Alligator mississippiensis: one gene and its partners. The protein of the gene in region 1 interacts with the protein of each later gene in a biochemical or structural test. Links are inferred from orthologs where the notes say so. Each region holds a gene or a part of one and is shown in the gene's direction. Other genes may lie near its edges.

Region 1 (8,421 bases):
ATTGATCCTGCTACCCTAAGCTTGACTGCTGAGGCTGTGTGCAAGCAAGGAGTGAGAGAAAAGCTCACTGTACAACATACAGGTAGATGCTGTAGCTACAACACAACACTGACTCCAGCCAATTCATTACAAGCAGATGTCTGGTGTAAGGAGGAGGTAGGACCACTGTATCTACATATCCTTATATCCAGTAGTCTTGTAATAGTTCCAGGACTTCTTCCCCATGATTCTTTTCAGGATCCTGACAATCTCTAACTCCACAGTGTGGTGGGCCCTACACTGAAATGTCAACCTGTGTAAACTTAAGCAACAAATCCTACACTATTATGCTCAGGTGGACCCTAAAACAGCTGAAAATCCCTCTCCATGGATGCAGGAGTTTACTTGTGTGCATTACACTGTGGGAGTTCTTTGCACATTGTAGATCTTCTGTCATAGCTGGGCAATATGCACTGGATTTTACAGAAATGACTGAACAAGTTTTTTTGTTCATATAACCCTATTTTGTAATTTCCCATGAGCACTCTTCATAATTCTAAACATTCTGAATGCAAAGAATAGAAGAAACCGTTCTTGGCATTGCACATTCAACATATTCTTCAAGATATAAATGGAGTGCAAACAGCTGAGTGATAAAGTAAGAACAAAAAGTGATTTTACCCAATACTTATCTGGAAAAATGGAGGTATACAAAGAGCTGAATAATTTGGCAATTTCATATTGACTTTTATCCCCTGCCATCTTGGAAATATGCTTCCTTATAAAGAGTGCCTATTGTATTAACTCTTGTAGAGTTAATACTGGTAATACTGTAATCTCCTATGCAGAATCAAATGAATGTCAAGTTCTACGAATCCGAAAGTACAATGAGAAGTGTAAGAATCTGTGAAGTCCATTCCATCCAGTTGGGAGACTTGGCACCTGGAAAGATTGAGCCATCAGTTTGGGTCTGGGAATATGACCTACTGACTGTTTCTGATAGCATATATTAAATTAAATTCTGTAAAGTATTCCAGAAGGAGGCAATTTTAAAGGTTTAACTTGGTATACATTTATTTGTAGAATAATTTATTATGCATCCATTGCCATGGCTCCTGTACACAATATATACCTTAAATTATCTGCTAATATGGCTGTCGTTGACTGGTTGTGGAACTAATTTAACTTCACTGAGACAGAAGGTAAAAGTCCATTCTTTGGATGTCCTATAAGATGCTAAAAGTGATTTCCAAGAAACCAGAGCTCATTTCTATTTTATTTTACTTTTTGTACACTGTGTCTGCTGCAACAGCTATTTATGGATGACTGTAATTTATACTTATACGAAACTTGGAAACATTCAGATAATGTAATCAGACTCTATTTTGAAGTTCAAGAGAACATAAGACATAGATTTTATGTCAACAAGAGTCATCAAAGGCTAACTTAAGACCTCATGTCACTAAATGCACGTTCATTAAATGAGTGTAGATGGACTTATTCGAGATCTGAATTTGGCACAAAGAACTAAATTTTATCCAAATGGAGCCAAAATAATTTCCCTCCACAGTCAATAATAAATAAGTCCAATTAACTTAATGTAAGGCTTTCAGGGAGGAGTAGAAGTGTAGGAGTCGGCAGCCCTCCCTGAAAAATAGAGTGGGATTATGGCCCAGTGGTCTGGCAAGCGCCATTCAGCCAGGAGGAGTGAGTGAAATTACTCCTTGCTTACAAATCCTTATCTTTACAGTTATTAGCTATGATAATAAACACCCCCAAGTCGCTAGTAACTCTAGGGAGCTACGAGGCTGTGCTGGGCAGATTGCTCATTGTTTTTCAGTGAAGTAAGAGCCAAATGCTTAATTACAGGTATCTAAATTAAATAGTTATAGTTTTCAGTCACTTTCATCTGCAGTGCAGAAATGAGGCCCATTAAACCTATATGCCCTAGCATACCCTGTGCCGCTTTGAAGCAAACCCAGGCCATTCAGATCACAGTTGAACACAGACGACTCAGACTTGTAATTTCCTAGGACTGAATCCTTGTAATGAAGATAAGGAAGGCTATACACCATATACTAGAGATGATGCTCTTTTTCATCCCTCATTTATAGTCTGATGTGGGTGTAACGAGAAGATGTACCACGCTCCTTCCTCCCCCCAAGCAGGTAAGAAACTCACAGCTCTAACATAAGATTACAAAAGCTACTCTTGCCACTACAAGAAAGTCCAGTTTACAACCAGATGAAAAAAAAAGCATCCACATACATTTAAAATTTCATGCTCAGATAGTCATTTCAGAAGCCCTGGCACCCAAGTAGTTGTATAGAAGTCAGCCTGGCAATCCTAAAAGCATGAAAGGACTCACTTCCCATAAGCAAGACCACCCATCTCCATTAAACTGTTAAAAAGTCTGATACCTACAGAATAAAACCTTGTTCTGTCTCCATAAATATAAACTCCTCCGCCTTCCTGACACAAGCAGGGGTAATGTCCCTGTAGCAGAAGGGGTCAAACATAGGGGTCAGAAAGTCCCATTCCAGCTGGAATCACGTAATGCAGCAACAGGGGTGGAGCGTCGGGATCAGACGTCCCACAACAGTTGGACTTGGACAGACGGACTCCAACCGTCAGCAGAAAGCTCGGCTCTTGACATTCTGCCCCAAAGATGGATCTGATTAGCTGGAAGGATATTAGACAATAAATGGGCCAAGAGGAAGTTCTAAGGTTCCTGTTTCTACATGGGAACAGCAGCATGGGTTATGCTGTTCTCCTGGCAAGAAGCAGTAGACCCTCTTCTCTGATGGCTGGCATGAGGTCCTTCCCAACTGGATGTGATTCTAGGGGAAAGATAATGCCATTGACAAGGAATGCCTGTATCTCTTGTGTAGAGATCACCAGGTTCAGTAAACACAGACATACATGAATGAAAAGAACTAAAACAAGTTTCATTATGGAGCTGCATGCAAGCTTCTGCAGATCCTTTGGCTCTAACGAGAAAGTTTAATTGAGAGATCATCTCTCAATTCCCAGCTTCTGTAGGCTAAGTAAGGGCTTGACTCTTAAGTTTGAAGTTCTGTCACAACATAGAGGGAGAAAGGTCTCTGATGTGGAGGGAAGAGTATCTCCCTAAAGGAAACATGAAGAGCAAAAGGGTGAAATGACAGGCAAGTCAAGGGATCAAAGAGAAACATGGTTTTTCCAGACACAAGCCATGCAGATAAAAAAAAATCCTCAAAGGGAGGCGAGAATTTGTCATTATTGTCAGAACTCATATAGAAAGCAATTTTTCTGTGGTGAAAATAATTAATGGGATACAGGTTTCAAAGAAACACCAGCCCAGGCAACACCTCAGCTTGCAGCATCTTCCCAGTGACATCACCAGTATCAGCCTACAATTCAGTAGACTAAATATGACAAGGTCTTTTAATCTTCTCTCATAAAATAGGTTCACCAGTCCCTGCCATTCTAGTAATCCTTCTCTGTTCCTGCTCCAGTCTGAATTCATCTTTCTTCAGCAAGCATGATCAGAATTTTACATCATGTTCTAGATGATGTCTCACTGGTGCCTTGTTCAGCAGCTTTAATACTTTCCTTTATATCTACTGCACCAAGTCATACATTCTAAGACATCATTTGTCTTTTTCACAGCCATATCACATTGGTTGCTGACATCCCCCAATCTAATTTTGCCTGAATATGCCAGCATATGATATTCTGATCCTTTTCTGTATTGAGAATGTTTCACCACCTTGTAACATTAACAAACATAATTAGCAAACTGCTGATATTTGTACCAAAGTGATTACTCCTACCTACTGTATGGGTAAAGAGAATGCCCTGTTGGGTAAACTGATTTTGGGGTTTACAAAAAGAAAATGGAGCCTAGTGTGAAAGGCAAATAATTAATTTCACTGGAAAAAACTATTTAGCACGAGTCCCACTCGGAACATAACCTAGGAGATCCTGCCTCTTACACATCAGGACACACCCTCACCAGATGCACGCAGAGGAAACAAAAGACTGTGAAGATTCACATCTGCACAATCACTGTTTCTGCATCTCTGATCTAGCAAGATCTGGACATTATTCAAGTAACGCGTGTCTCGGGTTTCCAGCAGAGGACGCAGGGGAGGCAGACATCCCAGTGCCCCACCCGTCCCGGTAGGAGGCCACCTCACCCTGATGGACAGTGAGGCTTTCCCCAGCCTCCTACTGCCATAAACACATCCTCCATCAGATCGATAGCTGAGCAGGCAGCCTCTTTGTTCCTAATTGTCAGGTCATGTTCCCCCTGCAGCTGTATTCCAGTTGATAAATTGGGGAGGGTTCAGCAGAACGATTAAAACACTGGAAAACCTTGCAAAGAACCCAAGAGCTTGTCGGAGGGCTCAGGGGTGCCTTGATCCCAGTTTACAACTGCCAAGGCCTGCCTAAAACTTTGATCGTGGGCTTTTTGATGGAGCAGACAAGGACAAAGCGGATCCAACGGCTGGAGGCTAAAGCTCGGCAATTTTGGGCTAGAAACAAGGGGTGTTGGTGAGGGTGGCTGTGGGTCACCGTGGCAAAGGGAGGCGGTGGTGCTCCCTCCCAGGCAGTTTTTAGCCCCCCCTTTAATTTTTCTAAGACATGTGCAAGGCTCCCGGCTGGAAGCAGAAACTCCTGGGGTGCGTGGAGCACCTTGGGGGACAGGTCAGGGATAACAAAGTGGCTTCATTCCCGTGACTCATGGGGTGAGGCTGCCCTCCACCTTCGCTCCCGCCTTAAACACACTGAGATCCCTTGTCCTGCCCTCACCTGAGGCAGCAGGTGCAAGGCCACGCCCCCAGCCACGCCCAGGGCGGGAACAATGGCAAGAACACGCCCTCTCCGCTGACGTCAGTGGTGCCGTCTCACTTCCTGCTGCCCCTCCTCCGCCGCGGTACTTGGTACATCCCGGATTCCTTTAGACACCGCCTCCCGCTTCTCCACCGCGGTGGTAGGGTCCGGCAGGGTTCACTCGCGTGCGGTTCCTCCTCCCCGCGGCAGTGGTACAGCCCGGGATCGCCCGGGAGGAGTGAGCCGCCGTCTCGGCCTCCCCCCCGCGAGCCGGCGCAGTGGTACGACCCGGTATCGCTCGGCAGCCCCCGCCGCCGCCGCCTTAGTCGGAGCCAGCTGCCGCCGCCGTCGTCCTAGTGTCCCTGAGCGCCCGCTCCTTCGCTCCCGGGGCTAGTGTATGAGCGATTCGTCACCCTGAGCCCGCCATGTCCACGCCGGCCCGGAGGCGCCTCATGCGGGACTTCAAGAGGTAACGAGGCCGGCGGCGGAGGGAGGCCGGGAGAGGAGGGGGCCGGCCAACATGGCGGCAGGAGCAGCGGCCCTGCGCCGCTTGCGTAGCGTTAGGCCACGCCGCTTGCGCAGGGAGGGGGGCCGGGGTTACGCTGACTGCTGGGGGTGACTCCCGGGGGCTACGCCAGCTGCGGCCCGCCCGGGGGGCGGAGCTTGGCCACGCTGACACGCCCGTGCCCGCAGGCTGCAGGAGGACCCCCCGGCCGGCGTGAGCGGCGCCCCCTCCGAGAACAACATCATGGTGTGGAACGCCGTCATCTTCGGGTGAGTGCGCATGCGCGGGCTGGCGCCCCCTGCGGGCGGGGCGGGCGGAGGGGCACCCCTGCGCTGCGCTCACCCTTCCTCTGTGCTCACCCCTTCCCCCTTCTCTTCCAGGCCCGAGGGGACTCCCTTTGAGGATGGTAAGTGCCGCTAAGCTACTGGGGTTTGGTTTGGTTTGGTTTTTGGAGGGTTGGTTTTTTTTGTTCTTTTTCCCAGTGTGACCTGCTTCTGGGTCCCTGCAACAGGTGTCAGCTTAGGACCTCCGCAGCCCCGGGAAGCACAACCACTGCCCACCTCCCTGCCAAAACTTCTGTCCTTAAAACTGCTCTGTGGTGCTACGTCCCTGACCGCTGCAAACCTTCCTTCCTTATTCCCCTCCCTCCTCCCAAGTCTGACTTCCTAAATGTGGAACTAAGGGTTCCTTACCTTAGTCTAGTTGTAGCTACTTTCAGTTTTTAAAACTGAAAGTACCTACGCTCCTTCTAAAAAAAAAAAAACAAAAAAAAACTTCCCGTGATACATTTGTCCCTAACTTTGTCATTGTTTGTAGCTTTGCTCACTATTTTCTCTGAAGTTTGCACTTCTGATGCTGTATGAAGGATCCAGTATCTATCCTGAACTTGCTAGACCTAAGCAAAGAAACAATTAGAAATAGTTATTCTGTAAAGGTGTCAGTATAGGACTACAATTAGTGTTGAGTCTTATGCTTTCATCATGAATTGCATGGTAAGACTCCCTAGCTCTAAAACTGTTTCTTCCTCTGAGGGAGCAACTGTTTGGCTTGAGGGCTCTGCCTTCCTGAGCTCATGCTTTCCCTTTTAAAGTACCTCAGACCCAAGAACACTCTAATTAGTTGCTTTTTTTTTGTCCTTAGTTAGCCACAAAACTACACGACTACCTCCAGCTCTCCTGCTTAGTGGCTGGTCTCTTCTCTTTTTTTTTCCTGCAGTGCCTGGTGCTTGTGGCTCTTTCCTTTGTTTGTGGGATTGTTTGAGGTCAGAAGTTCTCTTTGGTTTCTTGGGCCTTAATATACTAGTATAAACAGGTCTGGGTGATGAGACGGGTCTTGTCTTTACGGTGCACAGCCATCCCAGAAATGGATCACAGCTTGGAGGAAGAGAAACTGGCTCCTGTGAATTAATGGTATCGATCTTGAGAGTTGTTATTTTTTTTGTGTCTCATTTTGTAGTTCAGTGTTGGGGTTACTGAGATGTTTAGTAACAAAGGATTTTGACAAGAAGATCTACCACCTTCAATATATCTGTGGAAGATCAGCTTTGAAAGTGCTGGTATATTTAATGCTATCTAGGGCTTTTAAGTATTGATTTCTCTTCCCTGCCCTCCCCTCATGCCTTGATCTTAAATCCCTAAGGTTCTAGGCATTCAAACCATAATCAGCTTGAATCCAAGGCTACGTGCACTCCTGGTAGCTGGAGTATATTTCCTGTGTGCTTTAGCAGTAGGTTATTCCTCTTGTCTGTTGGGTTGTTCCTCGGCTAACATTCTTGGGCAGGTGTTCTGGCGCAGGTTGTGTACTGGGTTTCTTAATACCCAAGGCAGGAAAAATGAGCAGGGCATAAAATTGCTTGTTTGTTTGTTGGGGTTTTTTTTTTTTTTTTTTTGTTTTTTTTTTTTTGTTTTTTGTTACAGCACAGCTTTTTTTTATCTTGCTGCCTAGAATTGTATGTGTTGGCATCTGGAGATGTGTGCCCCACTTGAATAGTTTGCTGGTGCCTTTTACCTTGTGCTCTGTGCCACACTCTAAAGTTAGAGGGCTAGAAACGTAGCTCAGGAGGCTCCTGCCAGTCCTGTTGTGTCTGGTCCCCTGCATTTGTAGATTCTCCTTAAGTAAAGGAATTTCCCAAATTGCTCCCTTCACTTGGTTGCCTACAAGCAAAGGAACAAAATTTTTGAGATGCCAAAAGCAGCCTGTGAAATGCTATGGATGAAAGCATTGTCAGTGTCCTCATTACCCTTGCAATAATAGGAAGTAAGCTTATGTATGTGCCCAGAAGATCCTAGGTAAAGGACCATGCCCCATGCTAAAAGAAGATGACCCGCCCCCCCCGGCTGTGCCAGTCAAACTAGGGGGACCTCTTTTCTGTAGGTCAAAAATTAGGCACTTGGTGGGTATGTCTACACATGTCTTAATGCACAGTAGCCTTTTTTTACTGTGCATGAAAGTGTCATGTAAAAAAACCCACCACGCTAATCGCTAATGTGCAGTAAAATAGGCTACTATGCATTAAGTGTCTTTAAAGTGTGCACTTGCAGTACTGCATATTAGGGCAGCCTAATGTACACTTCACTACCTCACATTGGAGGTACTACATTTAATGGACATTAGGAAGAATGCATTCATGCATGTGTATCTGTACCTGGTATGATTTTATCTTTCTGGAGCCACTGTTTCTGCAACAGTATTGGCCTGGTAAGGGTACAGTAATTTGAGATCACCTGAGGTCTTAGATAGATTTGAATAATTTTATGCCTTCACTGGAATATGGTTGTATATGGAGAAGGCCTTGGCAAGTAGCCATGCTCTAATGGAATTGTGACGTATGGTTTTTCATTGCTTGGGGCCTCCTTAATTCTGAATGACCCTAGTTTTTGAAGGGCCTCAATTTGTGATCTGAAGCTCTACTGTGCTGTTCACTGTTGAGAGGTTTGTATTCATTTTGGGACCTGTCTGCTTTATGCTAAACATTCCTGTACTGTGCTTTCACTGTATTTGGGAAATACCATTATCTCTGTCACCAGAGAATACACTGGAGTCTGGTTCCAGTCATCAAGTATTCCATCAGTAAAGTGTTGGTAACTGGAATAGGTAACAGTCCTGCTAAATCTGGTATT
Region 2 (7,397 bases), on another chromosome or scaffold:
ATCAGGCTGCCCCCTGCTCCCTTCTACGAGCCAGATGGGGTCCCACTGCAACCCTCTCTGGGTGCCGGATCAGGACCACTAGTGAAAGCCAGCCTGTGGAGAGACCAGGCACTGCACATCTAGCCCACTGGACAACGAGGTTGAGCATCATTGTGTATCAGTGGATATCCTGGAGTCTTGTTTATTGGATGATTTGAAGAAGAGGCTAAGTAAATGTCAAGGCAATCTTGGTAAATCTGATTTTGCCTACGCACAGGGGTTTAGACTACATGATCTCTTGTGATCCACTGAAGTTCATACTATAGTGCCTCTGCAGCTAGTCTTGTCCAAATCAGCCTAGTTCATGAAAGACAGACACACCTTTACCATTGTGTTAAGATAACATATTTAACCATCTTCCTTTAAGACTGTCAAGAAGCAAGGCTTCTGCAGAGCTCTGTTGACTGTTAATGTGGACTTCAACCCCCAGAAACTTCCCAGGGGCTGGAGGACAAAGTGAAAAGGAAGAGGAAGCAGGGGGTGGCCAGAAGAGAAGCAGAGAGCTGTGAGAGGGCTATGCTTGGTTGCTGGACACTGGGGATGCATAGTGGGACTGTAGATCTCACTGGCTCGGTTAGCCAGGGCTGCGGACTGAAGGAGCTGGCCTCAGACTTGAGAACAAGTGCAGCCTGCTGTTTGAGCACTCTGGGGACTAAAGGCTGGTTTGGGGACACCTCCAGTGGTGTGTGCGTGGGGGCGGGAAATTAAGGTGCTGAGTGTATGTACCACAGTGTTAATGTCTATTTACCTTTTCCCTCCCTTTGGCATTGGCTTGTGACCCTAACTCCTATGATGTTATATATAAAAGTGGGACCCCCCCCCTTTGCTTCTTGTGCCAGTTTCTGTGGCTGCACAGTTGGCACAATATTTAGAAATGCAGAAATCTTGCAGTGTTTTAATGAAAAGTGGATCTTGACCTAGTTCCTACTTGTAAAGCATTTGCCATTCATTTTTTTTTTTTTTTTTTTTACACAACAGATTTTTTGGGGGGTGGGAGGGGGTTCCGTAAATTACAGTATGCTCTGCATTTTATTATGTGTTTAATTGCAAAAGCACCATAATGTAGTAGCTCTGATACAGCAATGTGCATCTGAGAACTATTTCTCATCATAAGAGGAATGAAGTTCTGGAACAGCCTTCTAGTTGGCATAGGAGGGGCAAGAAATATAATAGCTTTTAAGATGGAGCTTGATGAATATATAAATGAGATTATATGATGTAGTTGTCTACCATAGCAAAGGACAGGGCTCAAAGACCCAGAAGCTACTTCACATTGTATATCTTACATTCCTAAACATTAGGCATACGCATAAATATTATGATATAAACAGGACTTAAATGCATTCAAAAGCTTGTCGAACTTTATTTCAACCATGCAGTTGGTCCAATAAAAATATCATCCGAGAAAATGCTCACCTCTTGCTTATTAAGTATGTACTTAAATGCTATGTTGAAACAGTACCTAAATGAAGACACATCATTCAAATCCTGATTTTGTGGCAGCATCAGACTCTTTGTCTTGATTTATGATGAGCTCAGCCTTTTCACCAATTATCTCTTTGTTTTCAAAACTGTCTGTACCTAAATCTTTCTTGTGTACAGCTTTCCCATGTGTACTTTTTTGTCAGGCACAAAAGGTACAAACAGTATAAATTGGGGGCTCTTTTAGCTGACTCTAAATCTTAAATGGAGCCTCTACACTTTAAGGGTATGAAAGCATAATGTGATCTTTATGAGATCTGCCCACTATAAAATAGCAATTATAAAGCCTGTCTGTCATCAGACTGCAAACCAGATTGTATTCTAATGACACTGAACACAAGTGCTCTTCCCAGGTGTGCTGGGTTTGTTGCTCTGAAAGAAAGGCAGAGCTAAAAGGATTAAAAAATGGGCAACACTCCATGGGATTTTCACATGAGTGTGCGCGCCGGGTCTGACCCCGGGTCGCTTACGTTGCTCTGCACGCAGGCTGTGGCCAGCAGCCCGGGCAGGCCGGGTCGGAGAGGGCGGGCGCCGAGCTAGAATTAGGCACAGACACGTAACGGTTGATTTTAAGATTATTTTACTTACACCGAGATGGTCGTGGTGTAGGCTGAGAACTTGCTTGAGTTGTGGTTACAACAAAAAACACGAACACACGTGGAGGTTGCAAGGCTCCATGCAGACAGAACATGACAAACTCCGGATGTCCAGGACAAGCACGCATTAAACTCGTCGTTACATCTTATAGTAGGCTTCGTTCGAAGACGGGAAGAGGTGGGCGGTGGATCAGGCCGCCAAACTCCTCTGAGCGACACACAGGGTTTCTATTACCCTGCCACACACACCCAGAATCCCCACAAGATGGATGCAAAGTCCTCTTCGGCTTGGGCAGAAACTGCTCAAGCCTCTTATACGGCTAGCAGGCCAATCGCTAGCCGCCATGTGTGAATAATTTAGAACTAGCCAATTGCGGGGCACAAATTTGCATACCACGAGCGGGAAACCTTTGCACGGTGCATTTCTGTGCTCCAAAGGAAATGCACCCTGCAAAGATCGCTGCAAAGTGGCGGGAACACTTCCCTGCATGCGGGTTCTCTGCGCAGCAGAACTCCTCCGTGTAACGAAGCGGTATACCTGCGGGGATAATTCTTAGTGCCGAAGCACACACAAAAAAAATCAGACCTTTGGGTCATGACAATGAGCAGAGACTACAAAAAACTAGAATTGTTTAGTTTTGAAAGGAGATGAAGTAAAGGAATCACTGAAATATTTAAGGCTATGAAAAGTACGGTAAAAAAGTGACCAGCCCTCCAGTCTTATGTGGTCCACAATGTGGAAATAAGTTTAGTTCTCAATTAACTGAAGAGTAAGGCACTTCAGAACACACAAAAGGAAATATTTTTTCATAGATCATATAATCAATCTTTGGAATTGCTGTTGTCGGAGGTCACAGGCTGAAATACAGGGCTTTGACAAGGGTGGTGTCATTTTATGGCTAAGCAGGATTTTTTTTAAAGTGTAGTTTGGTACTCATTCTTCTGGGCCCTGTATAATACACTCGGGAGTATGGCACTGCACACGTGACTAGGCGTGGTATGGGCACTGGGACTTGGAATAATCAAGAGGCCAGTGAGAGCAGATTTTAAAGAACAATTAGTTCAGATTTGGATGACAAATCCTCTCTCCCAGATTAGCTGCAGTAAGTATATCAACACTGTATATATTCCTAATTCCCAGGCTAATACATATTAAACCTTCTGGCATTACCAGGGTGCGTCTGAGCTCCTGCATATTAAACCTTATGTTTTTAACAGCAGGAATGAATCTGCTGCCTTGAGCCTGGGCTTGGGCTACACAATCTCCAGACCACTATGACACCCTGCAGAGGGGAACTGAGGGAAGTGACTCGCTCGCCGTCACGGCACGATTCTAGGCTGGTTCCCTATCCTCTTCTCCCCTCTATCATTAGCTGCATGGACTGCAAACGCTGCCCAGCTTTTGGTTTTCACCCCTGGCAACGCAACGCCTGCAAGGACCGTGCTGCCCATTGCGGCAGGGCTGGCTCAGGGGGCAACACGGCCAGTGCCACCTGCTGACCACAGCTCCACCGTGCAACCGGGCTGCTTTGATTTGTGAGGGTTTTCTTGAGCACTGCCGATGCAGCCACCAAAGGACCCCCCGGGCCCCTGTTCTTCCTACAGGTGGCGCTCCGCAGGCACGCAGCGCTGGTGCCACAGGAGTCCTCGGGCCTCGCCTCAACCCTTTCCTCTCCGCCACTTCCGCCCACGCAGAGGAAGGGCGGCAGCCACCCTTTCCCTTCCTGCCAGCGTCAACCCCTTAGAAAACAACGGGAGGCAGTCGCCATGTCAAGTAAGGGCACGGAGCATAGCCGCTCCGGACCATCCACAGGAAAGGCACGCCCAGGGTGCGTCACGGCGCCATGGCTTCAGGAGCCTAGAAAGCAAAGCGGTGCGGTAGCCATATTTAGTGAGGGCACCGCCTTCGGGGTGACGACCTGCGCAGTGGGCCGCTGATTGGCGGAGCCGCTGTCACTGACCGCTTCCGGCTGGGTCAGGGGTAGAAGGCCAGAGGGGAGGCGCAGCGCCGGGCGGCGGTGAGCTCGGGGTGCGGCACGGGGGATTGGCCGGGGCTAGGGCCGGAGCTCCCCCCACGCGCAGGGGCGGGGTCCGCCCTGGGGGACGTTGGGGGCTGCGGGTGCTCCCTGCGCGCGGCTGCCCGGGGGGAGGGGCAGCGCTGGGGGCTCGGCTCGGCCCGGCGGGGGAGGGGGGCAGCCTCCAGGAGGGGGGAGCGTTGGCTTCAGGGGGGCCCAGCGCCCCACCCCCACCCCCGCGAGTTGTAGGCCTGGAGGGAGGGGGCGGGGGGCAGGGTGTGTGTACATACATACATATACATTGGTGCACATTGATTATTAAAAATAATGTGTATAGACACATATATATGCACGTGTACATGTATGTATACATGTGTTAATGTATATGCATATGCATAAATGCATATTGATTATTAAAAATAATATCTATACATATGTATACACAGGTGTTTGTATATATAGATATAGGTATATATTATATTTATCAATAAATTGTGTACACATACGTATACATAAATGCATATTCATTGTTAACAATGTCTGTATACTAGGGATGCACCGATAGAGATGTTTGCGGCCGATACCGATCTGATTTCCGATACCAACCCAGCAGCCTGAAGAACAGCATCCACCTGGTAAGTCTGTTGTGGTGGACGGGGACGGGGACAGGGGAGGGACAGATCAAGGCCCCCTGTGGTGAGGGAGGAGTGAGGCCGGGGCTCAGCCAGAGCAGGGTGGGTGTGGGACACAGCTGTGGTGGCGGCTTCTGCTGCTACTTCCGCCACTCATCCAGGGGAGGGCATTGGGGTGGGGGGCATGTGCCCCAGATCTGTGCGGGGTGGTCAGGGCCGGGACTACCAGACGGCAGTCGGGGCAGGCGGCACTGAGGGCAGGGATACAGGGAGCACTGCAGCCACCCCAAAATTTGCCAAAGCCCCTGCTCCCAGTGCTGCTGCCACCTGCCATGAACACAGAGTGGCGCAGCCCTGGCCCTGCTTGCCCCGCACAGATCCAGGGGCATGCTTGCCCCCCCGTGCCCTCCTGGACGAGCAGCGGGAGCCCCCTCCCTGTGCCCCCTGGATGAGCCACGGCTCCGTCCCACACCTTCCCTGCCCCAGCCCCTGTCCCTGTCTCAGCTCCACTCCCTCCCTCATCGCAGGGGGCCTTGATTTGCCCCCCCACCATGCCCCTTCCATTCCTCCCTCCCCTTCCACCATACCAGACTTACCAGCTGGACACTGCTCTTCAAGCTGCCGGGCTGTGCTTCTCGCCGCCTATGTGCTGCCCTGCAGCCACGCAGGCACAGGCCATTTATCAGCCAAATTATCTGCCATATGAGGCTGATTTCTGATAAAGACAATTTTCTTTATATCCGTGCCAATCTGATATTGGACCAATGCATTGGTGCACCTCTAGTGTATACATTTATGCGTATGTGTGTATACATGTATGTATGTATCCGTATGTAAATGCATATAGATTAAAAAGAGCATGGGTATGTATATGTATTTGTATGCGAGGATACACGTATTTATGTGTATACCCACACCTATACATATAGATTAAAAGAACGTGTGTGTTTACACATGCTCACATGTATGTGCATGCATACATATATCGATTTTTAAAAACAAAAGTTCCTGTGTGTATATACAGATGCTTGTGTACATGTACATATGCATGTATACACACCTATATGCACCTATATTACTAAAATGTGTGAATGCGTATATACATATGTGTATACACATGTAAATGTTTATGTGTACCCTCATACATGCCTACATACATATGGTAGAGGTGCACCAATAGAGATTTTGGGGGCTGATACTGATAGCCGATATTTAAGGAGGCATATCAGCCGATACCAGTCCAATTTCTGATGCAGCTGCCATCAGCTGGTCAGTCCATTGTGGTGGAAAGGGAGGGGAGGAGGGAAGGGGCATGGCAGGAGGGGTTGCAGATCAACGCCCCCCGCGGTGAGGGAGGGGGTAGGGGCAGGCTCTGCCCAGCCAGGGCGGGGGGGGTGGCAGGATAGAGGTGCGGCTTGTGGGGGGGGCAGCTCCTGCCACTGCTTGTACCCCAGGAAGGCAGGGGGCGTGTGACCCCAGATAGGCACGGCATGGGGCAGGCTGCAGCTGCGGGGTGGAGATGGTGCTTCATGGGGCTTTTCTTGCCGCTGGGCTTGGAGCAGGCTCCGGTGTCACTGGGAGGAGGCTGTAGCCACCCCAGATTTCACCGCATCTCCACTCCCAGCCCCTCACTGCTGCCCAGTGGCCAGTGCAGTCGCAGCTGAATGCCCCGCCTCCACCCAAGCACTGGGAAAAGCAGTGGCTGAGCTGGACAGCGGCACAGGGCTGGAAACAAAGCTGCAGCAAAATTTGGGGTGGCTGCAGTCTCCTCCTAGCAGTGCTTGAGCCCTCTCTGAGCCCAGCCTCTGGCGAGAAGAGCCCTGCATAGTGCCGGCTCCAGCTCCATCCCACAGTTGCAGCCCATCCCGCGCCGCGAACATCCAGGGGCAAATGCCCCCCCCCCCCCCCCCCCCCCCCCCCCCCCCCCCCAGTGCAAGCAGCTGTGGGAGCCACCCCCCTCTGCCCCCTGGCTGGGCAGCACCTGTCCCCTCCCTCACTGCAGTGGGCCGTTGATCTGCCCCCTTCCCATGCCCCTTCCCTCCCCATGCCCCTTCCAACTTATCAGCTGGAAGCAGCGCTCCATGCTGCCAGCTCTGCTCCATGCTGCATTGCAGCTGCACACAACACGGGTGTTTATTGGCCAAAATATCAGCCCGATGTATACACAATTTTCTTTATATCGGTACCAATCTGATATTGGACCGATGTATCAGTGCACCTCTAACATAGATTATTTTTAAAAAAACAACAAACCTCACAGAGTCACTGGTTTGTAACTTTGCGGTAGCTATATTTAAAGGATGGGATAGAGCACATGAAGCAGTCCTCTGTCTCATTTTGAAGTGCCTTTCTTAGCTTGAGAAGCTGCAGTGTCGGCTGTTAAGAAATCCAGCAAACCCCCGCTCCCCCGCCCCCAATTAGAAACCGTGGGGCTCTGAGTTTTACAGGTTTTTTTATTATTGTTACCTAAATTTTGTACCAAATTAGTAGGCAGCATGATCCTCTGAAAGGTACTGGAAACACACATGGCAAAATTCTTCACAGAGAGAGAGAAAGGAGGAGAGACTATAAGAATTGCCCCTAGGATAGGCTGTCTTTCAATTAATTCAGACCTAATCAGGTCTGTGCTTGCT
Region 3 (7,367 bases), on another chromosome or scaffold:
TCACAGCTCATCAAAAGAATGAAAATATGGTTATCGTCTCATAGTGGTTCTTTATACTGTATTGGGTCATCCCCTTTGTATCTTGGTTAAATGAAAAGATTTGCCAGCTTGGAAACTGAATGAGCTGAGCGTCTAGAGACCTGCACATTGTTGACACTTCTTTTTTAGAAAAAGTTTCTGAATTTTTAAGTAACGTTCCATGATACTGCCTCAAAATGCAAGAGTCTAGTCACGGCATCCACTCTGGTTACTCTGCTGAATCTGAGACGAGCACTGGATTAATTTATCAAGATATTTGCAAACAAGAGAGACAAATGACTTGATCTTCTGTGCTAGGCTTAAAGCAACAGTGGAGAAAGTACTTGCTTACACATCATTAATTGTGAAACAAATGCCTTTGTAATTTTTCCCTGTGCATGCTTACTTGTAAGTTGGAAACTTTATGAGAACAACATAAAAGTAAATATTATAATACAAAATGCATGTGTAATGTGTGCAGTTACACTATAGGGGGCCTATAATTTCATGTCACAAAAAGGCAGAAAATATCAATGACACTTTGGAGCTGCATTTTTTTGGCTTATTTCAATAAGCCACTGAGGGAAAGACAAGAAGAAAAAAAAAAGGGGGAAAGGAGAGTTTTTTAAGAGGAAAAGGAGAATAAAGGAAATGATAATAATAAAATAGGGGACATTTGGGAAGAATAGATTTGATAAGGATGGATTGTAGGCCTATGTAAAGCATTTGGACTGGGAGCAGACATTATAAGGAGCAAATTCACTGTGTGGCCTTCCCCAAATATATAATTTTAATTTTGTTTATGTCTTACATTTGTTCTAACATACATATTAAAAGTCATAGTACTATATACAATGCACAGTGTAATCCAATTCTGTGACTAGCCTCAGGAGTGAAGAAAGACTCTGCACTTGCTCAAACCTAATGGAAGTAATGCTTATTAAATTCAGAACAATCCAGGGTCCCTGCCACATGTTACATATATTACACAATTAACAATTAAATCGCACAATAAATTTAGACTGATCATGAGTCCAAAATTAAGACTGGCCACACATACAAAGTAATCATCATGCCATAAAAATGTCTATTCAACTGTAAAAAGGGGCAACCAGGTACAAAGTTAGTGCTTGAAACTGTGTAATAACTCTATGGCTCCTGCTACATATATTACACAATTAACTGGTAAATTGTGCAATAAATGTACACTGGATACATGTGCAAAGTAATTATTACATAATTGACTGGTTAATTGAACAATAATGTTAGACCAGGCACATATGCAAAGTAATAAGGCACCTGCTATGCTACATATATTATCCAATTAACTGGTGAATCGCACAATATACGTAGACCTGCCACACATGCAAAAGTAAGACTGACCACAAGTGCAAAGTAATTATCACGCAACTAACTGGTTAATCGGATGGAAGTTAATAAACTGACTTCCATTCAGCTTTAACCTGAGGGCCCTAAGCTGAACTTGCTGTCAGTGATATGATATTAGTAGCCTTGAAATGGCCTATTGAAGGCTTCTCATAGGAGCCCCTGACTAGCTTTGTTAATTTTATGGCTTCAAACAGCTCCCCCACACCCACTGATCTACTTTGCCAGCTGCCTTCTCTTTACTCTACCGGTGCCCCTTTTTGGGCCTTGCTGCATGTTCAGATTAAAGGTGGATAAGAAACCAGCTATAGAGCTGTTACACATTTTCAAGCACTTTGTTGCTGGTTGGCTCTCTTAATAGCTAGAAAGTAATTTTTACAGTGTGATAATCACTTTGCACCTGTGGCCAGTCTAAATGTATTGCATGCTTCACCAGATAATTGCATAGTAATTATTTTGCACATGTGGCCGGTCTCCCCTTGCATGTGTGGCTGGCCTAAATCTATTGCACGATTTGCCAGTGAATGGTGCAATATATGTAACGTGTAGCAGAGGCCTTTATTTTCAGTGATGGGGAGGAGGTTTCAATGTCAAAGTAGACAGTGGGATGGATGGACGCACCAGAGGCTTGGGCACTTCATCTGTACGCAGGTAAGTGGCCTGTGTGAGAGGGGGAGAGGCAGGGCAACGTGAGGCCTGGGCACCGTTGGATTTTTGTGCCAATGGTGCACTGAAGGTAAAGCATACGAATGCAAGAAACTGCAGCTGGCTGCACCCACCCGCGGTGCCTCTAGCCCAGTGGGTCTCAACTGTTGTAGACCTCAGGCACCCCTCAGACTGTGTTCACCTGCATTGCCAGGTCTTAACTATGAAATTATTGTACTGGAAGCTCAAAAGTATCATATTTCCATTCTCATTAAAAAACTAGGGGACTGTGGCATCGATACCGATCAGGCCGCAGTTGGAGTACTGTGTTCAGTTCTGGGTGCTGCACTTCAGGAGGGATGTGGACAGCATCCCTGAAGGGTCCAGAGGAGGCCACTCGCATGATCAGGGGACAGCAGGGCAGGCCGTACGAGGAGAGGCTATGGGACCTGAACCTGTTCAGCCTCCATAAGAGAAGGCTGTGCGGGGATCTAGTGGCCTGTTACAGACTAGTCAGGGGGGACCAGCAGGCATTGGGGGAGTCCCTGTTCCCCTGAGCACTACCAGGAGTGACTAGAAATAACAGTCACAAGCTGGCAGAGGGTAGATACAGGCTAGATATCAGGAGGTACTACTTCACTGTCAGGGCGGCTAGGATCTGGAACCAACTTCCAAGAGAAGTGGTGCTGGCTCCTACCCTGGGGGTCTTTAAGAGGAGGTTAGATGAACACCTTGCCGGGGTCGTTTGACCCCAGTACTCTTTCCTGCCATGGCAGGGGGTCGGACTTGATGATCTGCTCAGGTCCCTTCCGACCCCGACCAACTATGAAACTGTAATAGCTGAAAAATGGAAAAAATGCAAATAACTCTTTTTCTTTACTTTATATTGCTCACTTGAAGCAGTGAGTGAGCGAGAACTGGGTCATCAAAGTGGAAGTGTTTTTTTTTTATTTTGAGGCAAGCCGTCATAAGAAAGCACTGACGGCCAACCCCGAAGTTGGCGAAGACTCCCTCAGAGCGACTCGGGTTTGGCACGTGCTGTGTCAACTCCCCGCCTTGACAGGTCTCGTACATTTTGAAAGAGGAATCGGGACTCATGGGAGAGGTGATATCTTTTATTAGACAAACTAGATATTTGCAAAAAAAAAAAAAAAATTGTTAAATATTGTTTAATTTAAAAATACATTTTGAATGCTTTTACTCTCCTACTACCTTTGAAATGACCTCACAAATATGATTATTGATAATATTATCATTATAATCATTATAATTATAATTAAGTTAATTATGATACTATCCTTGAAATGACGACACAAACATGATAATTACTGGTAATTATGATAATTATCATACTGATCATTATGATATTATCATGATGATCATTATAATTATAATTATAATTATAATTATGATACTATCCTTGAAATGACCGCACAAACATGATAATTATTGGTAATTATGATAATTCTCATACTGATCATTATGATATTATCATTATGAGCAGTATGATCATTGTAATGATGAGAATTATGATACTATCTTTGAAATGCCCGCACAAATATTATAATTATTGATAATAATCTTATCATTATGATCATTATAATTGTAAAAATTATGATACTATCTTTGAAATTACCGCACAAATATAATTATTGATAATTATGATAATCATTATGATAATGGTGATAATGATCACTATGATCAGTATGATCATTATAAGTATGAGAATTATGATACTGTCCTTGAAATGACCGCACAGATATAGTAATTATTGACAACCCCGCGGCGGGGAGGTCGCCGCATCTCCCGCCTTGGCGGCCCCGCCCCCCCAGAACCCCGCCCTCCGCGGGGAGATGGCACGTGACGTCAGGCGTGGGGGAGACGGGGGAAACCGCGAGCTCCGGCGGGCGAACTACATCTCCCAGCGGCCCCCGCGGCGCCGACCCGGAAGTGTGACGCACTGCGGGCGCGCGATTCGGACGCCGGTTGGGCTGTTCCCGCGGTGCCACCGCTGCCCCCGCCGGTCCGCCCGCCATGGCTCTGGCGCTGCTCGAGCCGCGCTGGCCGGAGCGGCTGTCGCCGCTGAAGGTGGGTGCGGGGACGGCCGGGGGCAGGGCGGCAGCAGGGAGGCAGCGGGAAACCCCGGGGCGCTGGGCCCGGCGCGGGCTCTCCGTGGCCCGCGCGCTGCAGGTGGGGGCGGGGCGGGAGAAGGGCTTTCTCTGAGCAGCCTCCAGGGTGGAGACTGCCCGCCCCTGGGTTACCACCCTGCGAGTTTTGCACGATATCCAAATTAAACCTCCCTTGCTGCTACTTGAGATCATCGCTCCTCGTCCTGTCATCTGTCACCTCTGAGGACAGCCCAGCGCCATCCTCTTTCTACCCCTGCAGGGAGTTGCAAGGTGTCACTAAATCCCGCCCTCAGTCATTTCTCCACACTCAATAACCCCACTTCCCTCCTCTTCTCCTCAGCAGTCGTGTGCCCCAGCCCCCGAACTGTTTTATAGCCCCCCCGGTCCCGAAGGACGACAGACAGACCTGCTGTTTCCATTGAACACCCCCACGTAACCTGTGCATAGGCTCACGGACAGGGTTGGCAGGGGCCGCGGGAGGTTGCATCTCATCCGAGCCCTGCTCAAAGCAGGAGCAGCCCCAGTTTCCGTCTAACGGAGATGAGACCCCACCACCTGCAGCTCCCCGGCAGCCCCCGACCGTTTGCAGTCGTGACACATGCTGGGGGCAGTGGGCGACCGACCTGTTCAACTTCTTTTGCATCCCATGAGGGGGCAGGGTTAATTGCGTGTGTACATAAATCAATGTATATGGAGAATACATTCGTGCAGATTGCTTCTCCCCCTTATATCTTGGCTCCACTGTATGTACACTCTGCAGTCCGTTTTGCTTGCATCTGCCCGTGACGTGCTAGGGGCACGCGGTAGGGACCTTGCCAGAATGGCTGCAATGATATAAAGAGACTGGACCAGGCATATCAGGGCCCGAGCAATGATACAGGTGCAGGGATGGACTTTTGTCTGGAGGTACAAACAGGTGTTGTCCTGAAGCAATGCTTTCAGTGGTGCTTTTGGTGACGCCAGTGATAATTTGTTCCTGTTGCAGGCAGTGGACGACTTGCTGCGTTGTGGGATATGCTTTGAGTACTTCAATATTGCAATGATCATCCCACAATGTTCACACAACTGTGAGTACAGGACAGTTTCATATGAATGTGCATGTATTATGCTAGTGTTTGACTTCTGAATTTTGCTCCATGATCAGATTGGTACTGGGGCAGAGGGGGCGGGTGGGCTTGCCTTCCTCCTGTCGCAGGGGCATGGCCCATGGCCTGGGATCTCAAGCATATACTGACAGTATTTCATAGAAGCACGTCTTTAGCTGCCCTGGTTCCCCTGCTTTATCTGTGACAGGTTAGGGGGTGAGGTCTGTGTTGTGTCATGGGTGACGGCAGTCTTACGTAGAATTTAGATGATGGATTGTATGGGATGGTTTGGATGGGGATGATCCTACCTCAGGCAGGGGGTTGGATTAGATAATCTCTGGGGGTCTGTTCCAGCCCTTCTTCTCTGTGATTCTCTCTGACTTTTATTTCACGCCCTCATCTGTCTTACTACCTTCTTAGCCTCTCTCTGTATAAAGGAGAACACAGGTTACTTACTGCTGGACTGTACCAGTTGTCGTAGGACTAACATTATAGTGTGTGCTGGGTCGCGACAAATGCCTGCCACTGACCTAGTAGTTACAGTTTCCAGCCACTTGACATTGACCAGATGCCAAATGTGATGCGACTGAATTGGGCCCAAAGTGTGTGGTTAATCAGTATATACAGAGAATACATTTGTACAGATTGCTTCTCCCCCTCATTTTTCTCCATTGTGTTTAAAGTCTATAGTAAATTTTGCTTGCATCTGTCCATGACATGCTAGGGCAGGAGCGGGCAATTATTTCAGCTGGAGGGTTGCTTAACAAGTTTTGGTGAGCTGTCAAGGGTTGCAAGGTTAGCCCTGCCCCTTGACAGGTGCCCCACCCCCTAATTCAGCGTTTTCCAACCTCTTTCACCCCACAGCACACTTACCTAAATAAAAAAGCACCACGGCACACCAGATGTGGAGTTGGGGTAGTGCATAGCCAGCCGGACGCTGACCTGCGGGTGGAGGGAAGGGCATGTGGCCAGCTGGATGGCGTTTTGGGTTGGAACTACACCCGCTGGCTGGCTGGAGCCACGCTCCCCATCTGTCTGTGTCCGCAGCAGCAGCAGCAGGCGGGGGGCATAGCTCCAGCCCAAAATGCCGTGGCACATCTGGACGTGCCTGATAGCGCACCAGTGTGCCACGGCACACCGGTTGGGAAACGTTGCCCTAATCGCCATCTTGGGACTGGAAGCCCCTAACCCCTGACATTTGACACCAGAAGTCATCCATATTGTCTTCTCCCCCCCACCCACCCTCCCTCCCATGGAAGTAATCCTTCTGGGAGGGGGGGTTGCCATCTTGGAACCAGAAAAAAAAAAATTGTATACTCAAATCAAACTACTATAACACATTTTAATTTTATTTTAAAAAATATTTTGGCCCTGATTTATGTGCTTTTGCATAGTATATAAAAAGGTGGTTGCATAATAGTTCAAATAAAGTCTTACTCTTCTACGTTGTGTGTAGAGGGGCATGGGATGTGGTCGGTGGGTGTGTGTGTGGGATTTGTGGGGGGTGTGGGGTTTCTGAAGGGGTATGGGTATGTGTGCCTCCTCCCCCATGGTGTACAGCCTCCGTCACTGACAGCAGCAGTAGCAGGTAGAAGCACAGAGCCTGCCCATTTTGATGGTGCATGACCTCTGAAAGTCTGCCTCCTGCTGGCTTTCAGAAGAGCAGTTGCAGGCCGGTAATAATTTTTTGGAGGAGCCCAATGGGCCGGATAGAATGGCCTGGCAGGCTGGATCCATATTTTGCCCACCCCTGTGCTAAGGGCACATTGTAGGGATACCTTGTCAGAATGGTTCCAATGAGATAGACTTATTCCAGTCTCCCTATCAGGGCCAGAGCAATGATACAGGTGGAGGGATCACTTATAATCCATTTAAACTCACCAGAGCTTAGGGATGTGCTGTTGTTTTACTCCAGTTAGCTCAAACCCTCCTGTCACTTATCCCAGTGATGTGCAGTATGAAATCTCACCAGAGGTTTCCTCATAAAAATTCCTCTTTTTCAATGTTTCACATGCAAAATTATGATCTGACTTCTTTGGAATGCAGTGCTCAACTTATGGATTCCTGACAGACATTTCCTTTTTAAAGTATATAGTTTTCTCAG

Evidence for each region.
Region 2: the proteins of UBE2A (region 1) and RNF20 form a complex in vitro, tested with the Homo sapiens proteins (4 studies listed by BioGRID, with this or other methods). The link is inferred for Alligator mississippiensis from reciprocal best matches to the Homo sapiens genes UBE2A and RNF20.
Region 3: the proteins of UBE2A (region 1) and RAD18 form a complex in vitro, tested with the Homo sapiens proteins (12 studies listed by BioGRID, with this or other methods). The link is inferred for Alligator mississippiensis from reciprocal best matches to the Homo sapiens genes UBE2A and RAD18.

Annotation. Positions count from the first base shown.
Region 1 is NC_081831.1:72,656,265-72,664,685, reverse strand, and holds the start of UBE2A (ubiquitin-conjugating enzyme E2 A), read left to right. Parts: upstream 1-5,052; 5' UTR 5,053-5,222; coding exon 5,223-5,266; intron 5,267-5,490; coding exon 5,491-5,571; intron 5,572-5,682; coding exon 5,683-5,708; intron 5,709-8,421. UniProt on the Homo sapiens protein: E2 ubiquitin-conjugating enzyme that accepts ubiquitin from the ubiquitin-activating enzyme E1 and transfers it to a E3 ubiquitin-protein ligase. In vitro catalyzes 'Lys-11', as well as 'Lys-48'-linked polyubiquitination.
Region 2 is NC_081826.1:162,743,178-162,750,574, reverse strand, and holds the start of RNF20 (E3 ubiquitin-protein ligase BRE1A), read left to right. Parts: upstream 1-4,037; 5' UTR 4,038-4,135; exon of another isoform or gene 4,136-4,146; intron 4,147-4,683; 5' UTR 4,684-4,767; intron 4,768-7,397. UniProt on the Homo sapiens protein: Component of the RNF20/40 E3 ubiquitin-protein ligase complex that mediates monoubiquitination of 'Lys-120' of histone H2B (H2BK120ub1).
Region 3 is NC_081835.1:14,537,031-14,544,397, reverse strand, and holds the start of RAD18 (E3 ubiquitin-protein ligase RAD18), read left to right. Parts: upstream 1-4,007; 5' UTR 4,008-4,083; coding exon 4,084-4,137; intron 4,138-5,163; coding exon 5,164-5,245; intron 5,246-7,367. UniProt on the Homo sapiens protein: E3 ubiquitin-protein ligase involved in postreplication repair of UV-damaged DNA. Postreplication repair functions in gap-filling of a daughter strand on replication of damaged DNA.